Linked DNA regions of Anolis sagrei. The protein of the gene in region 1 purifies or fractionates together with the protein of each later gene. This does not show direct contact. Links are inferred from orthologs where the notes say so. Each region holds a gene or a part of one and is shown on either strand. Other genes may lie near its edges.

Region 1 (7,906 bases):
CAAGAAGATGTAGAGAAGAAAGGGGGGAAAGAGGAAGGGAAAGAAAAAGGGGGAAAGGAAGGAAAGAGGAAGAGAAGGAAGGAAGGAGAGAAGGAAAGTAAAAAGGGGAAGGAGAGAAAGAGGGAGGGAAGGTTGGCCACAGCAACACGTGGTGGGCACGGCTTGTGTGTGTGTGTACATACACACACATACCACATACTTCCACCTGTTCCTCAGCATGCTTGCACATGCTGCTTACTCAATCTTTGTAGCTACACTTCCCAAAGCCCCCACTCACCCTTTCATGCCATGCTATTCCTCCCTCCATCACCCAACGCCTTCCAGACACACTCCCCTCTTCAACAAAGCACACCCACACCTCCTCCTCACATTCACCCATAGTGAGACCACTCCACCACCACCCCACCACCCAATTCCTCACATGAACAACCTCCTTTCTCGATTTCCTCCCGCAAAAAAAAGCCCTCTCTTCACAGCGTCTGGAAGGCCTACTCCATGAGTCATGGAGAGTTGACATGCCACTGAATCCACCCCCTCCAAAAGTTCTCCCACACAAAAGCAGACCCTCCCCACATTACCCTGTGGTGAGGCCACCCCAGTTCTTCCCATACACGCCCTCAATGTCCATTTTCCCCTTGACCCCTCCCTCCTACTAGGTCTTCTAGGCCTTTCCTATCAGGCCCCTCCATGAGTTATTGGGAACCAGAATCCATTAATTCCAATACGACCACTCCCCTCACTCATTTCTGCCTTCCTTGTCTCACCCTCCCCCCCCCCCAAAAACACACTCCTTACAATGGCTCCCCTTCATCATGCTCTCCTTGTCAAGGCCAAGGTTTCTCTCACCACCACAAATGTATACCCAGAGGTCCACTACCAATGTACCCACCCCCAATAGTCTCCCCACTTTCAAGCCTTGGCCTGACAGGAGTTTGGGGAGGGAAGCCTAGCTTCCCCCCCCCCAAAAAAAAGCACACATGGAGGCACCCCAAGGCCCACCACAAAGGCTACCCACCACGCCCCTCAGGTCAACCCTCCCCCCCCCCAAAAAGGAATATACACAGAGATAGGTAGACTACAAAGGCCTCTTACAGTCTCCCCCAAAAAATATTCACCCCAAACTTCAACTCTCCCCCCCCCAAAAAAACGCAAAGAGAGAGGTTAACTACAAAGGCCTCTTATGGCCTCTCCCCTCAAACATTCACCCCGAACTCTACTACAAAGGAAGCCCACCACGCCCCTCAGGTCAACCCCCCCCCAAAATGCACAGAGAGAGAGGTTCTTTACAAAGGCCTCTTATAGTCTCCCCCCCCCCAAAAAAAAACATTCACCACAAGCTCTACTACACCCTTCAGGTTAACTCCCCCCCCCCCCCCAAATACACACAGAGAGAGGTTCACTACATTGGCTTCTTATGCTCACTCCCCTCATTCACCCCAAGTTCCACTACAAAGGCTGCCCACCCACGCCCCTCAGGTCAACCCCCCCCCCCAAATATACACATAGAGAAGTTGACTACAAAGGCCTCTTATAGCCCCCCCCCCAAAAAAAACACATTCACCCCATGTTCCACTACAGTCCACCACACCCCTCAGGTCAATTCCTCCCCCCAAAAAATACCCATACAGAGAGGTTCACTACAAGGCCCCCGATGTCAACTCCCCCTCCAACAAAAATATACACACAGAAGGTTCACTACAATGTTCTCCACCCAAAAAGCATTCACCCCCATGGCCCACCACACCCCTCTGGTCAACTCCCCCCCCCCAAAAAAAAATACAAGAGAGAGGTTCACTACAAAGGACCCTCATGGTACCCCCCCCCCAAGTTCCACTAAAGGCAGACCACCACACCCCCATGGTCCCCCCCCCCCTTAGGAAGTTTCCCTGAAGCAGTCTTCCCCCTTCAAAAAAACCCCTGGCCCTCGATAGACAGACACCCCACTGCCCCCTCCCCCCAAAAAGCCAAAGCATCTCCCCCCCCAGCTCTGCAGGCGCATGCGCACTCTCCTTCCCCGACTCACCGGGCGAGGCTGAGCCCTTGGGGTCTCCCTTGGCGGCGGCGGGGCTTTGCTCTTCCTTCTTGGGGGGCAGCTGGGGGGCGTTGCGGGGCGGGATGGCGGGGGGCTTGGGCTCCCCTCGGGGCGGCGGGGGTGGCGGGGGCTGCTCCTCCTCCTCGGGGGCAGAAGGAGAAGAAGAGAAGGAGGAAGGAGGGAAAGAGGAGGAGGAGGAGGGGGTGGTGGTGCTGGGGCCCCAAGCCGGCTGCGGAGGGGGCGGCGGGGGCGGGGAGGAGGAGGGGGCCTTGGCGGGCGGGGGCGGCTCCCCGAAGCCCCCCAAGTCCAGCAAGGGCGGAGGGGGCCCGGAAGGAGCCGGAGGGGGGCTGAAAGGGATGGTCGGGGCCGGGGCGGACAGGGGCTTCTTCACCTCCCGCACTTCCAGCCGCTCATCATCCAGATCTTCCTCCTCTTCTTCCTCCTCCTCCTCCTCTTCGTACTCGGGGTCCTTCACGAACTGGTACTGGAAAAGGGGGGGCTGGGGCTGGGAGGCTGTGGAAGGAGGAGGAGGAGGGAGAGAAGAAGACGAAGAGGAGACCAAAGGCGACTGGTCGGGGTCGTCCATCCTGGCTTGCAAAGAGAAGAACTCAAGAGGAGCCGAGCTGGGAGAAAGGGAGGAAGGAAGGAAGGAAGGGAAAACTGCACACTCTCTCACTCTTTCGCCCCAAAAGAAGGAGAAGGAGGAGGAGTAAAAGTAGAAAAGGAGGAGGAGGAGGAATGAACAAGGAGGGCGGCTGCTGCTGCTGCTTCAGGAGAGAGAGAGAGAGAGAGAGAGAAGAGGGGGAGACGCAGCCCGCCAGCCAGCCACCACCTCCACGCCCGGATGAGTCACAGAAGAGGAGGAGGAAGGAGAGGAGGAGGAGGCTGGGCTTGGACGGGGAGGAGGGAGCCTGCAACTAACGAGGAGGACGAGGAGGAGGAGGAAGAGAAGTTGAAGCGAGCGGCTCCTGTCTGTCCTCCTCCTTCTCTTCTTCTTCTCCCACCCAAGAAGATAGACAGGCAACCCAAAGGCCCAATGAGCATCCAGGAGGGGACACAAAGGGGGCGGGGCTAAGAGGGAATTGACCATTCGAGGTGGGGATGGAGAAGAGGATGCAGCCCAGGCATGGGCACACTTGGGCCTTCCAGGTGTTTTGGACTTCAGCTCCCACAATTCCGAACCACCAGTTGGAAGAGATAGACAATAATAATAATATTTATTTATTTTATTACAAACAATCTACAAACAAAACAATCTACATACAAACAATCTACAGACCCACCAAGAAAATCCAACAAATGCTACCTTCAGCAAAGGACAAGAGGGATCCTCTCACTTCTGCAGGAGTCTACTGTATACCATGCAGCTGTGGACAAGTCTACATAGGGACCACCAAACACAGAGTTGCCCAGACACGCATCAAGGAACATGAAAGGCACTGCAAACTACTTCAACCAGAGAAGTCAGCCATAGCAGAGCACCTGATGAACCAGCCTGGACACAGCATATTATTTGAGAACACAGAAATGCTGGACCACACCAACAACCACCATGTCAGGCTACACAGAGAAGCCATTGAAATCCACAAGCATGTGGACAATTTCAACAGAAAGGAGGAGACCATGAAAATGAACAAAATCTGGCTACAAGTATTAAAAAACTCCAAAATTACAAAGCAAAACAGCAGAGAGGAAACAACCAGGCACATCTTAACACCTCTCAACAAAAGGTTTTCCCAGGCTCAGGCAGGCCTTCAAATGCTAATGAAGGTGATCAGCTGAAACATTCACACCTAGCTCTAGCAGGGAAGAGCTCCTTGCCCCACCCCAGCCATTCCACAGATATATAAACCCATTGTCCTATTTCCAACAGACCTGAGGATGCTTGCCATAGATGCAGGCGAAACGTCAGGAGAAATGCCTCTAGAACATGGCCCTATAGCCCGAAAAAACCCACAAGAACCTATTTATTTTATTTATTTCTGTTACTTTTACCCCACCCTTCTCAACCCCCGAGGGGGGACTCAGGGCAGCTTACAAAGAAGGCACCATTTGATGCCGTACAAATTACACATAATATACAAAACCATGGCTAAAACAATTATTGCAGTTAAAAACAATCAAAACAATCAGTACATAACATGTCATATATAAAAACTATAAAAAAAACTATTCTCATGCTCAGCGCTTCGTCTTTCAGAGTTCCATAGTTCTATTCCATTAATCATTTCCTAATCATTGTCAAGTCCTTTTATCTGCCCGATTATCCGAATGCCTGGTCCCAAATCCATGTGTTCAGTTTTTCCTAAAGGAAAGGAGCGATATTGCAGATCTAATTTCCCCGGGGAGTGAATTCCAAAGGTGGGGGGCCACCACCAAGAAGGCCCTGCTCCTCGTCCCCGCCAATCTCACTTGTGATAGAGGCAGGGTCGAGAGCAGGGCCTCCCCAGATGATCTTAGACTCCAGGGTGGGACGTAGAGGGACGTAATACGGCCAGTTGGAAGGGATAGCCAATAATAGTAATAATAATATCTGGGTGTGCAGGTACAACTGCACCAGGAGCTCCAATTTTGTTTGCTTTGCATTTAATGTTTGTTGTAGTCCTAAGTTTCAGGGACTCTGCAGATAGGTGGCTTCTTTTGGCTGCAATCATAGGACAAGCCACCTGTCAATTATAGTTCGGTTCCCTGGTCCTGCCCCCTTTGGGTTTTGGAGGGAATAGGAGCCAGTTTGGGTTCAGTCCACACAGAGAAGCTTTCCATGCAGGACATAATACCAAGAGCTCCTGTAGAAAGCTTTGTCTTCTATGGCTTGGCTGGGGTTATACAGCCCCACAGCTTGGCCAGAAGATATACAGCCTTACAGCTCCTTTGCTGAGGGACTTCAGTCAGCCATCACTGAAACCTGAACTCCTTTTTCCCTGGAAGTCTACAAAGCTCTGCTTGGTAAGGGTCACTCGCGGAAGCCAGATGCAGTTGGTACCGGGTGTAGGGGCTCCACGCCATCAGAGGCAAAGACAGACTGCCCAGATTAGAAGTTAAGAATTTCCCCATTAGTTACAGTTATGAAGATAGTGCCTGTTCCCTGTGGACAAGATTGAGAGAGCCAATAGACTGTTAAGAAAGCTTTAAAGTATTGTTTGTTTTCATCAATAAAGAACACTGTTGAACCTTTAAACAATCTAAAGACTCTGTTTTAAGGAAATCCAAGGGCCTTTAATCTGAGGCAGCCCCGGCGTCCTGTTGGGCACACAGAATATATGTCCTGTCTACAGTCCTATGCACAGGCCCAGCGTGCGACAGCACACTGGGCATACTACAGTTGGACAATATCAGGCATGGGCAAGTGAAAAATGTGGTCAGCAAAGAATATATCCAAAGAGTCAGAAAGGTTTTGAAGAGTAAATTAAATGGCGGAAATACAATCAATTATAATAACTTTATTTTTATACCCCACCAACCATCTCCCCTGGGGAACTCGGGGTGGCTTACAAGGGGCACGCCCAAGATTACAATTAAAAAACACATGTAAAACACTTTCACCAATTAAAACATAAGATAAAACAAATAACAACACAATTGAAAGCAATATAAAACAATATCAAGGCTATCAACACCTGGGCCACCCCCGTCATTACATACACTGGTGGGATTGTGAACTGGACACAAGCAGAGCTGAATGATCTGGATAGAAAAACAATAAAACTGATGACAATTCACTACTCATTACACCCGTGTAGTGATGTCAACAGACTTTACCTGCCCAGAAAATCAGGAGGCAGAGAGAGGGCTTCTGCAAGTGAAGCAAAAATGGTAGAAGAAGAGAAACATGCACTGGCAGATTATGTGAAAGGCAATCAAGAACCAACATTGAGGGAAGTCAATCGTAGTAAACTGCTTCAAGTGCAAAAGACAAAGAGGGAATACCGTAAAAACACAATCCATAGCAGAAGAGAAAACCAGCAAAAGACTGGACAGTTTCTGGCAAAATTTGAGAGCCAAATTGACAAAGAAAAAAACATGGATGTGGCTCACAAATGGGACTTTGAAAAAGGAGACGGAGGGCCTGATTCTGGCAGCCCAAGAACAAGCCATTAGAACCAATGCCATCAAAGCCAGAATTGAAAAGTCACGACAGATCCCAAGTGTAGACCTTGCAAGGAAGCAGATGAAACAATAGATCACATCCACAGCTGCTGCAAGAAGTGGTGCAGTGTATATTACATGTAATATTACTAATACTATTACAGTATATATACTAATGTTGTGCTGTGCATTATAGCAATACTGATCAAAGGAAGATCAAAGTACTCAGCATCAATACAGGCAGGCCTCCACATTCATAGGGTTAGGGCCACAGGACTCCCATGAATGTGAAAAACCTGGAATGAAGAAATCGTTGGGTTGTTTTTTAACCTGAGGGAATGTGTCTAGGCCTTCCAACATGGCTTCATCTATGGTCAACATCTTCTGGAAAATGACCATGAAATCTCAGTGAAGGACCATAGATTCCTAGAAAGAATATTTTTAATCAGATCCTTTATCCCCTGTTTGGGTATCAGCCAGCACGTCAACAACTTAAATCAAGAAATAGTTTTCTAAGCTCTACAGAGACACTCGCTGGAACACCGCAGCAAGCGAGAGTCCAAAAGTGGCAGGCTCAAACCCAGAACCTCAATCAATGACTGATACCAAATGAGAGACTCCCCCCTGGGCACACAGAGGACTGGGCGACTTGGAAGGCGCTGAACAGACTGCGCTCTGGCACCACGAGATGCAGAGCCAACCTCAAGAAATGGGGCTATAAAGTGGAATCCACGACATGCGAGTGTGGAGAAGAGCAAACCACAGACCACCTGCTGCAATGCAACCTGAGCCCTGCTACATGCACAATGGAGGACCTTCTTGAGGCAACACCAGAGGCACTCCAAGTGGCCAGATGGACATTTAATCAACTACCAAGCTTGCAAACTTTGTGTTTTGTTTGTTTGTTTGTTAAAAAATGCAATACAACTGTTTGGTTTGCTCCTGACACGATTTATAATAAATAAATAAATCAGATCCTTGAACAATCAAATCTGTCAAAGCCAAAACTGCAATTGTGGAGGGATGGACGACCGTATTTAAAAATAATTTTAAGAGTGATTTGTTTGTTCCTGGCTTCTTCTGCCTGACCAAAGCCACAAAGAGTCTTGTTGCATTTTAAAGAGTAGCAATCTGCTGCATTTGAAGAGGTGGGCATAAAGCGTGTTAGTCTTTAAGACGTTGCAAGGCTGTTTCGTACTTTTGCGGCAAAACCGACTAACAAGGCTACCAGCACCACCCGCACCGGAAATCTGTCTGGAAAAATTACTTAAATGTGGTCCGCAGAAGTTTCATCGATGCTATATTTGAAAATTTGTTTCTAAGATGCCATAAGGCTTTCTTGCTTTGTTTTTTTTTTCAAATATAGCAAAGAGGCAGAGATGTGAGAGACCTGAGCTAAACCCCGTCATCTGCCATTACGTAAGCTTTCACAAGCCTCCCCCGTATATTCCAACGTTTATCTGTAAAATGGGAGTAACTGTAATGCAGCATTGCAAGACTGTTGCAGTAAAGATAGTTTAGCATATTTATTTAGAAATCAGTCTCTTTGACTTTAAACCAGTCTTGTTCTCTCATTTTGTAGCCTTCCAGCCTGACCTCTAGTATATTTAGTCCCATAAATCCCATGGGTTTCAATGGGATTTATTACCCAGTAAGTGTATCCAGAAATGCAGTCTTAAAAGGATATGTAACTTATAAGTAGGTATCTTAGAGCAATGTTTCTCAACCTTCCTAATGCCGCGACCCCTTAATACAGTTCGTCATGTTGTGGTGATCCCCAACCATAAC
Region 2 (7,024 bases), on another chromosome or scaffold:
AATAATAAAGCGCTTCACTGTAGAAGGAGTTTATAAGATTGTAACATCAAAAGCCTGAATGTATCTCAACCAAGCCATATTGTAACCATCAAGCATATGCCAAGTTCAACATCTTAATATTGCAACAATACGCTTTGTTTAACAATAAACTTGTTCTCTTTGTTATTTTAAACCTGCCTCATCTCCATTGAGTTTACGTTCGGTGCATTCCACTCTACCAAAGTTATCTCACAACGCAAATAGGGATAAACAGAGACTATAATACCAGCGTCTGTAAGGAAGTTCCGAGACTGCTAAATTAAACCTGCCACCAAATGTATAGAGACGCTGGTATTATAGTCTCTGTTTATCCCTATTTGCGTTGTGAGATAACTTTGGTAGAGTGGAATGCACCGAACGTAAACTCAATAGAGATGAGGCAGGTTTAAAATAACAAAGAGAACAAGTTTATTGTTAAACAAAGCGTATTGTTGCAATATTAAGATGTTGAACTTGGCATATGCTTGATGGTTACAATATGGCTTGGTTGAGATACATTCAGGCTTTTGATGTTACAATCTTATAAACTCCTTCTACAGTGAAGCGCTTTATTATTTCAGTGTTCCCTGTTGTGAATATTCTCACTGTTTGTCCTATACCGGATCAAACCACTGATCTCCAGTCTTCCACTACTGGCGATCCTAAAACCCCCTCTGTTAGATTCTCTTTCCTCAAAGTAATCTAACGAGGTTTTCCCTTCAGCTCCCTTGCTGAAGAAATATTCACAAACACTAAAAACTAACTGACTCTACACTGCTTCACTCCACAGAGCCCCTAACTGACTCTGCTCCTCTTCTCAGGGTCTCTTCCTCCTGACTGAATTACTTTCTCAGAGTCCCTTCATGACTCTGCTACTCTCCCAGAGTCCTATCTGACTCTGCTCCTCTTCTCAGGGTCTCTTCCTCCTGACTGAAAATTAACTGTCACTTTCAAACCTTTTTCTCTTTAAGCTCCGCCCACCTCCTCTTCTGCCTTGTCTCCATGGCAACCTATCTCTCACAGCTAGGCCATGGCAACAAATGTAAAACACAAATACAGATATTAACACAGTATAATAAACACTTTATAATAAACATTTCTCTACACATAGGCATCACTGAAACCTGGTGGGATGACTCCTATTGCTGGAATGTAGACATCGAGGGCTATAATCTCTTTCACAGAAACTGAACAAAGGGGAGAGGAGGCAGAGTAGCGTACCTGGATTTCCGTAAGGCCTTCAACAAGGTCCCCCATGACCTTCTGGCAAACAAACTAGTCCAATGTGGGCTAGGCAAAACTACAGTGAGGTGGACCTGTAATTGGTTAAATGGACGAACCCAGGGGGTGCTCACCAATGCTTCCTCTTCATCTTGGAAAGAAGTAACGAGCGGAGTGCCGCAGGGTTCCGTCCTGGGCCTGGTCCTGGTCAACATCTTTATTAATGACTTAGATGAAGGGCTAGAAGGCATGATCATCAAGTTTGCAGCTAGCTATTTTTTGATATGAGCAGTTCAAGGTCTGTGCAAAATGTACTCCTGGTCTTGTTTTTGCCCAGAGAATGCTGCTTCTCCGCATTCTGTTTCTAGTTATGTGATATATCCGAGTCCTAACTTGAGGGTGTCTCTTCTTGAGTTGCTGGAAAAATATGTTTGCAACGAATAAACTATTTGCTTCCTAAATTCAATCAGTCACACTCCTGCTTCATTTCACGATTCTATGCCAATTTTTTTCCTATTTGTTTTTACTGTACTTTGTTTCCCACATTTGCATTCCAATCTTTCTTCTTCTGCCTCTGTAACTGCTGCACTATTTATTTATTTGTCGTGTCAGAACAACCAGTCTAACAGAACAAAGCAAACAAACAGAAAAATACACAACTTCTGATTTTGGTAGCTGGTTAAATGTCTTTTGACCAGTATCTGGCCACTTGGAGTGCTTCTGGTGTTGCTGCAAGAAGGTCCTCCATGGTGCATGTGGCAGGGCTCAGGTTGCATTGCAGCAGGTGGTCTGTGGTTTGTTCTTCTCCACACTCGCATGTCGAGGATTCTACTTTGTAGCCCCATTTCTGAAGGTTGGCTCTGCATCTCATGGTGCCAGAGCGCAGTCTGTTCAATGCCTTCCAAGTCGCCCAGTCTTCTGTGTGCCCAGGAGGGAGTCTCTCATTTGGTATCAGCCATTGGTTGAGGTGCTGGGTTTGAGCCTGCCACTTTTGGACTCTCGCTTGCTGAAGTGTTCCAGCGAGTGTCTCTGTAGATCTTAGAAAACTATGTCTAGATTTAAGTCGTTGATGTGCTGGCTGATACCCAAACAGGGGATGAGCTGGAGATGTCTCTGCCTTGGCCCTTTCACTATTGGCTACTACTTCCCGGCGGATGCCAGGTGGTGCAATACCGGCTAAGCAGTGTAATTTCTCCAGTGGTGTAGGGTGCAGACACCCTGTGATAATGCGGCATGTCTCATTAAGAGTCACATCCACTGTTTTAGTGTGGTGAGATGTGTTCCACACTGGGCATGCATACTCAGCAGCAGAGTAGCATAGCGCAAGGGCAGATGTCTTCACTGTATCTGGTTGTGATCCCCAGGTTGTGCCAGTCAGCTTTCGTATGATATTGTTTCTAGCACCCACTTTTTGTTTGATGTTCAGGCAGTGCTTTTTGTAAGTCAGAGAACGGTCCAGAGTGACTCCCAGGTATTTGGGTACGCTGCAATGCTCCAGTCGGATCCCTTCCCAGGTAATCTTCAGAGCTCGGGATGCTTGTCTGTTCTTAAGGTGAAAGGCACATGTCTGTGTTTTAGATGGATTAGGGATCTGTTGGTTTTCCCTGTAATAGGCAGTTAGAGCAATGTGACAGTTTCATACATGCAATTTTTGTGTAATCACAAGTACCTATACAATGGGACTGGGAAATCTGAAGCAACATGATGTAATATTTACCCACTAAACATGATATCGGGCTAAGAGGGGAATTAGTATTGTTAACAGTAGCTATGTACCACTTTTAACATTCATTGTCATTCTTAGGTATTTCTCTGAATAGGCCATGTCCAGTCTGAGGATTTTTTGTGGCTACTGCTATGTTTGCACAATTGCATTGTGGATGACTATGTCTGCAAGTTCCTTTAATGCTCCGGCATGCAGTTTGTCTGGCCTTGCAGATCTGAACACATTTAGCTTAAATAGGTGATGACGGGGGGGGGGGGGGGGGCAGGAACTGAAGCAAAATAGTTATTAATTAGCTCTGCCTTTTGTGGTAAAATATTCCCATCATTTCCTTCAGTCACTTGCTTTGAATATGCACATTTGGAAAAACTCAAAAAAAAAATTGTGCTGAGACTTTCCTTATACCATTCCGGCAGGGTTGAGCTACACAACTGTATTCTTCCTTGGTGATTCATCTTTCCTTTCCATTCCTTGTATGCAATCTTTTTTCTGCTCACATTTTCAGTATGCTTATTGTACCTAATTGGTTCTGTCATTAAAAAACATGGAAAAAGTTTATTGAACTGCAAAAACTTTGGTTTTGTGAGACATCCTGCAGCACATTTGCTATAGTTTTCAATAAATAGTCTCAACCAGCAGCAGAGTAGCACAGCGCAAGGGCGACTGTTGCACTAAACAAAGCCGAAATAAATATACTGCTGGCATCTATCTCCAAGAAGACCCTAACCACATTTAAACACAAGAAGACACAAAAATCCCCCTGACCACTAAATTGCAGCCAAACCACACCTAGGGCGGGACTAGCCAGTCAGCCTACAGCTCCCAGCAATCCCTCCTCCGCCTAAACCCTCCTTGCCCTCTATTCCAAACCCGCCTTCCCATCCGGTAGCTAATCAGGCCGAAGCGGCGTCAAGGCTCCTCCTCCCCCTGTACCTATTGGCTGGCGAGGGCGGAGACGCTACTAGCCCGCTTTCCTGCCAATCATCGTGAGGAACAGTTCGCTGAGGCGAACAGAGGCGCAAACTCGGGGGAGAAAGGAGGCTGGGACGGAGTGGGTGGGGCCAGGAGGCTTCGATTGCTTCGCAGCGGGCCAGCGGACGGTCTTCCTCAGCTTGTGGCTGGAATTCTCTCGGGCCAGCGGAAGCAGCAGCAGCAGGAGCAGACGCCATGGGTTCCTTCCTGAGCACGGTGAGTAGAGGTTCCGGAAGAGGCTCCCCTCCCTCAGTGGAATGTGCCTGGCGGGCAGGAGGCGGCAGATCCCCTTCCGGGCAGGGGTCCCTGGCCGATGGCAGCAGAGCGCATGCGCCCCTCCCAGCCCTTGTCTCCTGCCTGGCGCCTCCTGGCAGACACGCCCCTGCCAGAAAGGGAGCCGGGAAGCAATTCTTTTTACCGTGCGTTATCAACGACCGAGTAGAGTTTTACCATTTGACACCACTAACTGCCAGGGCTCACTGCTGTAAAATGCTGGGATGTGCAGTTTATTGTGGCACCAAGCACTCATAGAATCATAGAATCAAAGAGTTGGAAGAGACCTCATGGGCCATCCAGTCCAACCCCCTGCCAAGAAGCAGGAACATCGCATTCAAATCACCCCTGACAGATGGCCATCCAGCCTCTGCTTAAAAGCTTCCAAAGAAGGAGCCTCCACCACACTCCAGAGAGTTCCACTGCTGAACGGCTCTCACAGTCAGAAAGTTCTTCCTAATGTTCAGATGGAATCTCCTCTCTTGTAGTTTGAAGCCATTGTTCCGCGTCCTAGTCTCCAAGGAAGCAGAAAACAAGCTTGCTCCCTCCTCCCTGTGGCTTCCTCTCACATATTTATACATGTCTATCATATCTCCTCTCAGCCTTCTCTTCTTCAGGCTAAACATGCCCAGTTCCTTAAGCCGCTCCTCATAGGGCTTGTTCTCCAGACCCTTGATCATTTTAGTCGCCCTCCTCTGGACACATTCCAGCTTGTCAATATCTCTCTTGAATTGTGGTGCCAAGAATTGGACACAATATTCCAGATGTGGTCTAACCAAAGCAGAATAGAGGGGTAGCATTACTTCCCTAGATCTAGACACTATGCTCCTATTGATGCAGGCCAAAATCCCATTGGCTTTTTTTGCCGCCACATCACATTGTTGGCTCATGTTTAACTTGTTGTCCACGAGGACTCCAAGATCTTTTTCACACGTACTGCTCTCGAGCCAGGCGTCACCCATTCTGTATCTTTGCATTTCATTTTTTCTGCCAAAGTGGAGTATCTTGCATTTGTCACTGTTGAACTTCATTTTGTTAGTTTTGGCCCATCTCTTGTTAGTTTTGGCCCATCTGTCGAGCCCATCTGTCGAGCAGATAAAGTGGCAGAGCACTGTAATTCTGCAGTGTGGATATTAGTTTTAGACTCTGGAGATCAGGATTCGAAACTATGCTGCAGAATTAATGCAGTTTGAAACCACTTGAACAGTTCAGGCTCAATAATATTAAACCATAGGTATTGTACAGGGTGAGGCAGCATAACTTCCTTTTTTCAAAACTTAATAAAGCCCATTGTATGAATCAGGAAAAAAATATATAATGTAGGCACATACCTAAAGTTTTGTTTTACTTTTAAAGATCGAATTAAGTAGGTGACATCCCCCATTCTCCATTCTCCATACATTGAGTAACCGATTTCTGGCATTTGTCATGACTTGCCAGCATAGCAGGTGTTAGGTTGGCAATTTCTTCCTGGATGTTGGCCTTCAAATCTTGTAGGATCCTTGAACGGTTCACATAAACACGGGATTTCAAAAACCCCATAGAAAAAAATCACAAGGGGCCAAATCTGGAGAGCGGGCCGGCCACTCCAAATCCACTTGAAAAGTAGGCCTCAATGGCAAAAACACGCTCCTCACTGTTACAACGCATGATGGAGACTGAACTGTGACAGGACAAAACTTGATACTCCTGCCTCTCAAACGAGACCACTAGCACTCCGCTACGTCTTCAACCGACTGAATAGCGTGCATTTTTAAAAAGGAAGTTATACTGCCTCGCCCAGTAGTTCTAATAATATGTCCTTAGCCTTCTCTGCCAAAGAGTGCTGATGCCTCATCAAAATACAACTCTATCCATAACATGAAGCCACAGCATCTAAAATGGTATCAAACTGCATGAATTCTCCAAACGTTTAAAGCCGGGAGAAGGTTCACAGTCCCTCAGTAAGTTGGTGGGTTGGACTGTAGTTTGAAAAATACACAAATGAATTCCTATGCATGCTGCACATATGTTATTTGTAGCCCAAAAAAACCCATGTTTGAAATGAAGAATAATTTTAACCAACATAAATGTATTTCAGTGGGAAGTGTGAGCCTGCTTTTGACTGATGACATAGTCAAGTTTATTAGGATTGTTGTTGTTGTTGTGTGCCTTCAAGTCGTTTCAGACTTAGAGGGCAGCCCTAAGTTTAAAGCAATGGCAGGGTCAGTGACCTTGGAGGGCTGCATCTGGCCCACAGGCCTTAGTTTGGGGACCCCAGTTGTGATCCTGAGCAACTCACATACTCTCAGCCCCAAAGGAAGACAAAGACAACACACACACACCCCTGAACAAATGATAGTTTTGACATACAGGACTTGAGGGCAGGCGGCAATAACAGTATCTGCAAGCCTGGATTAAAGTGGAAGGACTGGCTTGCGGGCAAAGGAGAATGAGGGAGACAGAGGCCTCTCTCAGCTCCTCCATTGTGACTCATCATTGCCCTTTGACAACTCACAAGAAAAATATTCCAGAGTTTCCTGGCAATTACCACCAGTTTTGAACGTAGTTCCTTTCTGCCCATCCACCAACAGTCTTTTTAAAAAGCAGTCTTGTGGAACATAAGTACATGCCATTTTCTTTCAAAAGAGGAAGAGTTGAGGGGATGCATGTTCTGACCCTATTTATTGCATGACTCACGAAGCTCAGGATCCAAGCTTTCTGCCAGAAAATGCAAAGTTGCAAAGATTTAGCATGTTTCGCCTGTAACTTCAATAACATATCTGCAACTTTTGCCGCTCTAAAAAATACCTGGAGATGTAGATGACAGGAGTAACT
Region 3 (7,240 bases), on another chromosome or scaffold:
TGGGAATTGTAGTTGCTGGGATTTATAGTTCACCTACAATCAAAAAGCATTCTGAACCTCACCAATGATGGAATTAAACCAAAGGTGACACACAGTTCTTCCATGACCAACAGAAATGACTAGAAGGGTTTGGTGGGCATTGACCTTGAGTTTGGGAGTTGTAGTTCACCTACATCCAGAGACCACTGTGGACTCAAACAATGATGGATCTGGACCAAACTCTACACGGATATTCAATATGCCCAAATGTGAACACTGGTGGAGTTTGGGGAAAATAGAATCTTGACATTTGGGAGTTGTAGTTGCTGGGATTTATAGTTCACCTACAATCAAGGAGCATTCTGAACCCCACCAACGATAGAATTGGGGTAAACCTCCCACACAGAACCTCCATGTAGTAAACCTCTCCCAAAGAATGGCTAGTAAATAATAAATAAATAAATGCTATGGAATCCTTGGAAGAAAAGCTATAGACCTTGTAAAACTACATTGTATTAATGTATTATCGAAGGCTTTCATGGCCGGAATCACTGGGTTGTTGTATTTTTTTCCGGGCTATATGGCCATGTTCTAGAGGCATTCTCTCCTGACGTTTCACCTGCATCTATGGCAAGCATCCTCACTACCTCTGAGGATGCTTGGCATAGATGCAGGCGAAACGTCAGGAGAGAATGCCTCTAGACCATGGCCATATAGCCCGGAAAAACCTTCAACAACCCACTACATTGTATTGAGCCATGGCTGTTAAAGTGCAGTCAAACTGCATTAATTCTGCTCTGTAGATCAGGCATGGGGAAACTTCAGCTGTTAGGAATTGTGGGAGTTGAAGTCCCAAACATCACACAACTTATTTTGGAGCAAGCTTGTTTAGCATCGGCCTCTTAAACTACAGCATTAATAATAATAATAATAATAATAATAATAATAATAATAATAATAATGATTATGATGATGACGACGCAAGGTCTCTAAAAGATATATTATTTTGGTGAGGCACTAGTCTTCTTGGGCAGAGAAGTCTAAATACCTTCAAAAACTACAACTCCCAGGATAATATAGCACCCCAGAAAGTCATGGGAGTTGTCGTTTCCCAAGACTTTTAGCCCTTTCTTCCAAAGTGTTTTGGTGGCCAGAAAGGGGTTAGAGACCTTGGGAAACGACTTCTGAATTTAAATGCTATGGGATCCTGGGAGTTGTAGTTTCCCAAGGCCTTTCACTCTCTCCGACAAAGGGTTTCGATGGCAAGAAAGGGGTTTGAAACCTTGGGAACCGACAACTTTGATGGCTTATAATTTTAAATCCTATGGGACCCTGGGGGTTGTAGTTTCCCAAGGCCTTTAGCCCTTTCTGCCAAAGGGTTTTGGTGGCAAGAAAGGGGTTTGAGACCTTGGGAAACTACAACTTCGATGGCTTATAATTTTATACGCTATGGGACCCTGGGAGTTGTAGTTTCCCAAGGCCTTTCACTCTCTCCGACAAAGGGTTTTGATGGCAAGAAAGGGGTTTGAAACCTTGGGAACCTACAACTTTAATGGTTGATGATGTTGTAGTTTCCCAAGGCCTTTAGCCCTTTCTGCCAAAGGGTTTCGGTGGCAAGAAAGGTGTTTGAGACCTTGGGAAACTACAACTTCGATGGCTTATACTTTTTTACGCAGTGGAATCCTGGGAGTTGTAGTTTCCCAAGGCCTTTCGCCCTTTCTGCAATGGGTTTTGGTGGCAAGAAAGGGGTTTGAGACCTTGGGAAACTACAACTTCAATGGCTTATACTTTTTTACGCAGTGGAATCCTGGGAGTTGTAGTTTCCCAAGGCCTTTACCCCTTTCTGCCAAAGGGTTTTGGTGGCAAGAAGGGGATTAGAGACCTTGGGAACCTACAACTTCAATGGCTGATGATGTTTTCCAAGGCCTTTACCCCTCTCTGCCAATGGGTTTTGGTGGGAAGAATGGGGTAAGAGACCTTGGGAAACTACAATTTTGATGGCTTATAATTTTATGGGATCCTGGGAGTTGTAGTTTCCCAAGGCCTTTAGACCTTTCTGCCAATGGGTTTTGGTGGCAAGAAAGGGGTTTGAGACCTTGGGAAACTACAACTTCGATAGCTTATAACTTTATATGCTATGGGATCCTGGGAGTTGTAGTTTCCCAAGGCCTTTCCCAAGGGTTTTGGTGCTTTGCCAAACTACAGCTCCCAGATTCCCCCTGAAATCATAGAACTCGTGGGAATTGTAGTTTCCCAAGGCTTCCAAAGGGGTTTGGTGCTTTGCCAAACTACAGCTCCCAGATTCCCCCTGAAATCGTTGAACTCGTGGGAATTGTAGTTTCCCAAGGCCTTTCCAAAGGGGTTTGGTGCTTTGCCAAACTACAGCTCCCAGATTCCCCCTGAAATCATAGAACTCGTGGGAATTGTAGTTTCCCAAGGCCTTTCCAAAGGGGTTTGATGCTTTGCCAAACTACAGCTCCCAGATTCCCCCTGAAATCATACAACTCGTGGGAATTGTAGTTTCCCAAGGCCTTTCCAAAGGGGTTTGGTGCCTTTCCAAACTACAGCTCCCAGATTCCCCCTGAAATCATACAACTCGTGGGAATTGTAGTTTCCCAAGGCCTTTCCAAAGGGGTTTGGTGCTTTGCCAAACTACAGCTCCCAGATTCCCCCTGAAATCACAGAACTCGTGGGAATTGTAGTTTCCCAAGGCCTTTCCAAAGGGTTTTGGTGCCTTGCCAAACTACAGCTCCCAGATTCCCCCTGAAATCACAGAACTCGTGGGAATTGTAGTTTCCCAAGGTCCTCAGCCCATTTTGCCAAAGTTTTGCAAGGTTTTAGTGCATACACCCACCCCCCACAGGACCAGGATCCCATAGCATTGAATCCTGGAAGTTAAAGCGGTGTTAAACCGCATCAACTCTACAGTGCAGATGCAATCACGTGGTGGAGACCTCCCAGGCTTACCGGCCGCCTCCAGCTTGAAGTCTTTCTCAGCTGCAGCCGACGGAGAAGTGACCCGCCTGCTTCCCGCCTCGCTCCCATCCCATCAAAGCCGAAGGAGCGAAGGGAGGGCCCTTGGGTGCCAAGGCATGCCGGGAAATGTAGTCCCAGTGGCGCCTCCCCTCGCCCGAGGAGCCTGTTCCCAGCGAGGCCTGCGAACTACGACTCCCGGCAACCTTTGCGGCCACTCAGAACAGGCGGATGGCAAGGAGAGACCGTTGCAACGGCTGCTTGGAGCGAGGCTGGCGAAGGGCATTCTGGGAGATGTAGTCCTCCCTGCTTGTTTACCTTTTCACAACTTATCAGTGCTCCTTTCTCTTCATGATTTAAGTCCTTCTCATCATTCAGGCTTATTATCATTATCATTAATATCACAAAGGACGACCACCTCACCCACCTCATAGGAAACCTGCTACAAAACAGGAGCTTTTTTGTTGAGTTGACAAGCTGGAATGTGTCCAGAGGAGGGCGACTAAGATGATCAAGGGTCTGGAGAACAAGCCCTATGAGGAGCGGCTTAAGGAGCTGGGCATGTTTAGCCTGAAGAAGAGAAGGCTGAGAGGCGATATGATAGCCATGTATAAATATGTGAGAGTTGACAAGCTGGAATGTGTCCAGAGGAGGGTGATTAAAATGATCAAGGGTCTGGAAAACAAGCCCTGTGAGGAGCGGCTTAAGGAACTGGGCATGTTTAGCCTGAAGAAGAGAAGGCTGAGAGGAGATATGATAGCCATGTATAAATATGTGAGAGTTGACAAGCTGGAATGTGTCCAGAGGAGGGTGATTAAAATGATCAAGGGTCTGGAAAACAAGCCCTGTGAGGAGCGGCTTAAGGAACTGGGCATGTTTAGCCTGAAGAAGAGAAGGCTGAGAGGAGATATGATAGCCATGTATAAATATGTGAGAGTTGACAAGCTGGAATGTGTCCAGAGGAGGGTGATTAAAATGATCAAGGGTCTGGAAAACAAGCCCTGTGAGGAGCGGCTTAAGGAGCTGGGCATGTTTAGCCTGAAGAAGAGAAGGCTGAGAGGAGATATGATAGCCATGTATAAATATGTGAGAGTTGACAAGCTGGAATGTGTCCAGAGGAAGGTGATTAAAATGATCAAGGGTCTGGAAAACAGGCCCTGTGAGGAGCGGCTTAAGGAACTGGGCATGTTTAGCCTGAAGAAGAGAAGGCTGAGAGGAGATATGATAGCCCTGTATAAATATGTGAGAGTTGACAAGCTGGAATGTGTCCAGAGGAAGGTGATTAAAATGATCAAGGGTCTGGAAAACAGGCCCTGTGAGGAGCGGCTTAAGGAACTGGGCATGTTTAGCCTGAAGAAGAGAAGGCTGAGAGGAGATATGATAGCCATGTATAAATGTGTGAGAGTTGACAAGCTGGAATGTGTCCAGAGGAGGGTGATTAAAATGATCAAGGGTCTGGAAAACAAGCCCTATGAGGAGCGGCTTAAGGAGCTGGGCATGTTTAGCCTGAAGAAGAGAAGGCTGAGAGGAAGAGAGCCATGTATAAATATATGGGAGTTGACAAGCAGGAATGTGTCCAGAGGAGGGCGACTAAGATGATCAAGGGTCTGGAAAACAAGCCCTATGAGGAGCGGTTTAAGGAGCTGGGCATTTTTAGCCTGAAGAAGAGAAGGCTGAGAGGGGATATGATAGCCATGTATAAATATGTGAGAGGAAGCCACAGGGAGGAGGGAGCAAGCTTGTTTTCTGCTTCCTTGGAGACTAGGACGCAATGGAACAATGGCTTCAAACTACAAGAGAGGAGATTCCATCTGAACATGAGGAAGAACTTCCTGACTGTGAGAGCCGTTCAGCAGTGGAACTCTCTGCCCCGGAGTGTGGTGGAGGCTCCATCTTTGGAAGCTTTTAAGCAGAGGCTGGTTGGCCATCTGTCAAGGGTGATTTGAATGCAATATTCCTGCTTCTTGGCGGGGGTTGGACTGGATGGCCCACGAGGTCTCTTCCAACTCTTTGATTCTATGATTCCAGGGCCAGAGAAGCAGATGGCGGAAACAGAAGAACAGCCTGCCTCAGGGGAGCGTGCTTGCTCCATCCATGTTCAACATCTACACAAATGACCAGCCACTGCCAGAAAGGACAGAGAGCTTCATCTATGCTGATGATCGTGCCATCACCGCTCAAGCAGGGAGCTTTGAGATGGTAGAACAGAAGCTCTCCAAAGCTCTACGTGCTCTTACTGACGTCAAGCATCCCCCCCCCCCCAAAAAAAAAGGGATGGTGACTTATAGTTCTGCAAAGGACAAAGATACCAGACTGCACAATAGGGATTAAGTCTTGGTCAATTTGCCATGGCCTTAACAACAATGAGGACCCCATGAAACTTTGGGAATAGCTAGACCTTGGGGTCTCTGCCTCTCTCGGGAGCTGTAGTTCTCCAAGGACAGGGAGCAAAGCTTGTTTCCAGAGACACCAGGTCCATTTGGGCCACTCAAGAACTCCTGCCAGGACCTTTGTGCAACACCCTTGCGTTTTAGCCATCCCCTATGGACGCTCTTTCCCCCCACATGGACAAACCTTATGAACTCTTGCCTTTTATGAACTTTAGATGTATGAAATGTGTTTTCTGATTTCTTTGTGTGGCAGAAGCCTTTCCCCTTTTCTTCTGACCTTTGTTTCCCCTATATACATGAAGAAACTCCACCAAAGGGACTACAAAGCCCCAAACATTCCAGGAATTTTTTATCCACAACTTCCTTTTGCATGGACAATAGTCTGGGCAGTTGGTGGCCCTCGGAGGAATTGCCCAGCCCTCAGCTTGCCCCTTTGGCAAAAATCTTAATCATATTTCCTCCTGAAGGACAAAAGGTCCTTGAAAAAACCTTTTGCCTTCGCTCTGATTATTCATTCCACTCAAAGCACAATAGATCAGGCTGGCTTGAGATTTCCCCTTTGTCTCGCCGGTCGCATGGCATGGCATTTCCTTTGTTTACTCCTTTCCCAGATTCCTTTGTGCTCCCTCATCCCGCCTCCATTTCTCCTGATTGGCTGTCGCCACCAGGTGGCAGAGATCTCTCCATTGGTTCCTACGGACCACTGGAGCCCATCGCCCCATCATGGCAGGGAACAACAGGGAAGCCGGGGCGGGGAGTTTGAACTCTGCAACTTTGAATTTGCTATAAATATGACCAGTAGCTGGCCACTTGGAGTGCCTCTGGTGTTGCCGCAAGGAGGTCCTCCATTGTGCATGTGGCAGGGCTCAGGGTGCATTGCAGCAGGTGGTCAGTGGTTTGCTCTTCACCCCACTCGCATGTTGTGAATTCCACTTTGTGGCCCCATTTCTTAAGGTTGGCTCTGCATCTCATGGTGCCAGAGTGCAGTCTGTTCAGCGCCTTCCAAGTAGCCCAGTCTTCTCTGTGCCCAGGGGGGAGTCTCTCATTTGGTATCAGCCACTGGTTGAGGATCTGGGTTTGAGCCTGCCACTTTTGGACTCTCGCTTGCTGAGGTGTTCCAGCGAGTGTCTCTGTAGATCTTAGAAAACTATTTATTGATTTAAGTCGTTGGCATGCTGGCTGATACCCAAACAGGGGATGAGCTGGAGATGTCACTGCCTTGGTCCTTTCACTATTGGCTGCTTCTTCCTGGCAGATGTCAGGTGGTGCAATACCGGCTAAGCAGTGTAATTTCTCCATCGGTGTAGGGCGCAGGCACCCCGTGATAATGCGGTATGTCTCATTAAGAGCCACATCCACTGTTTTAGCGTGGTGGGATGTGTTCCACACTGGGCATGCATACTCAGCAGCAGAGTAGCATAGCGCAAGGGCAGATGTCATCAAAGTGGGGTCATCTGTATATCTAAGGTTAATGTTTCTTCCAGCAGTTTTCACCCTAGCCTTGCATTTCTCAAGGCCCACACATCGCATGATGTGTTCTGCATACAAGTTGAATAGGTTGGGGGAGAGGATACAACCCTGTCATACGCCTTGCCCAATTCGGAACCATTCTGTTGTTCAATGGTCAGTTCTTCCTGTTGCTACTTGGAGATAAGGTGATTTGGTATGGCCATACCACCAAGAACTTGCCACAATTTATTATGATCCACACAGTCAAAGGTTTTAGAATCGTCGATAAAACAGATTATTATTATTATTATTATTATTATTATTATTATTATTTTCCACTCCATCTTTTTATTTTTTTGAAAAATTTCTGACATTACAGAACTAAACTGAAATGTATTAATTTCACTCTTACATTTCATGACATAATAATAATAATAATAATTAAGATT

Evidence for each region.
Region 2: the proteins of RTN4 (region 1) and NADH-cytochrome b5 reductase 3-like purify together in Homo sapiens (affinity purification with mass spectrometry; 3 studies listed by BioGRID and IntAct, counting the BioPlex papers as one, with this or other methods). This does not show direct contact. The link is inferred for Anolis sagrei from reciprocal best matches to the Homo sapiens genes RTN4 and CYB5R3.
Region 3: the proteins of RTN4 (region 1) and ATL3 purify together in Homo sapiens (affinity purification with mass spectrometry; 4 studies listed by BioGRID and IntAct, counting the BioPlex papers as one, with this or other methods). This does not show direct contact. The link is inferred for Anolis sagrei from reciprocal best matches to the Homo sapiens genes RTN4 and ATL3.

What each region holds. Positions count from the first base shown.
Region 1 is NC_090021.1:16,434,289-16,442,194, reverse strand, and holds the start of RTN4 (reticulon-4), read right to left. Parts: upstream 3,026-7,906; 5' UTR 2,619-3,025; coding exon 2,024-2,618; intron 1-2,023. UniProt on the Homo sapiens protein: Required to induce the formation and stabilization of endoplasmic reticulum (ER) tubules. They regulate membrane morphogenesis in the ER by promoting tubular ER production.
Region 2 is NC_090025.1:89,514,180-89,521,203, forward strand, and holds the start of NADH-cytochrome b5 reductase 3-like, read left to right. Parts: upstream 1-3,952; 5' UTR 3,953-4,129; coding exon 4,130-4,150; intron 4,151-7,024. UniProt on the Homo sapiens protein: Catalyzes the reduction of two molecules of cytochrome b5 using NADH as the electron donor.
Region 3 is NC_090032.1:17,100,228-17,107,467, reverse strand, and holds the start of ATL3 (atlastin-3), read right to left. Parts: upstream 3,047-7,240; 5' UTR 2,947-3,046; intron 1-2,946. UniProt on the Homo sapiens protein: Atlastin-3 (ATL3) is a membrane-anchored GTPase that mediates the GTP-dependent fusion of endoplasmic reticulum (ER) membranes, maintaining the continuous ER network. It facilitates the formation of three-way junctions where ER tubules intersect.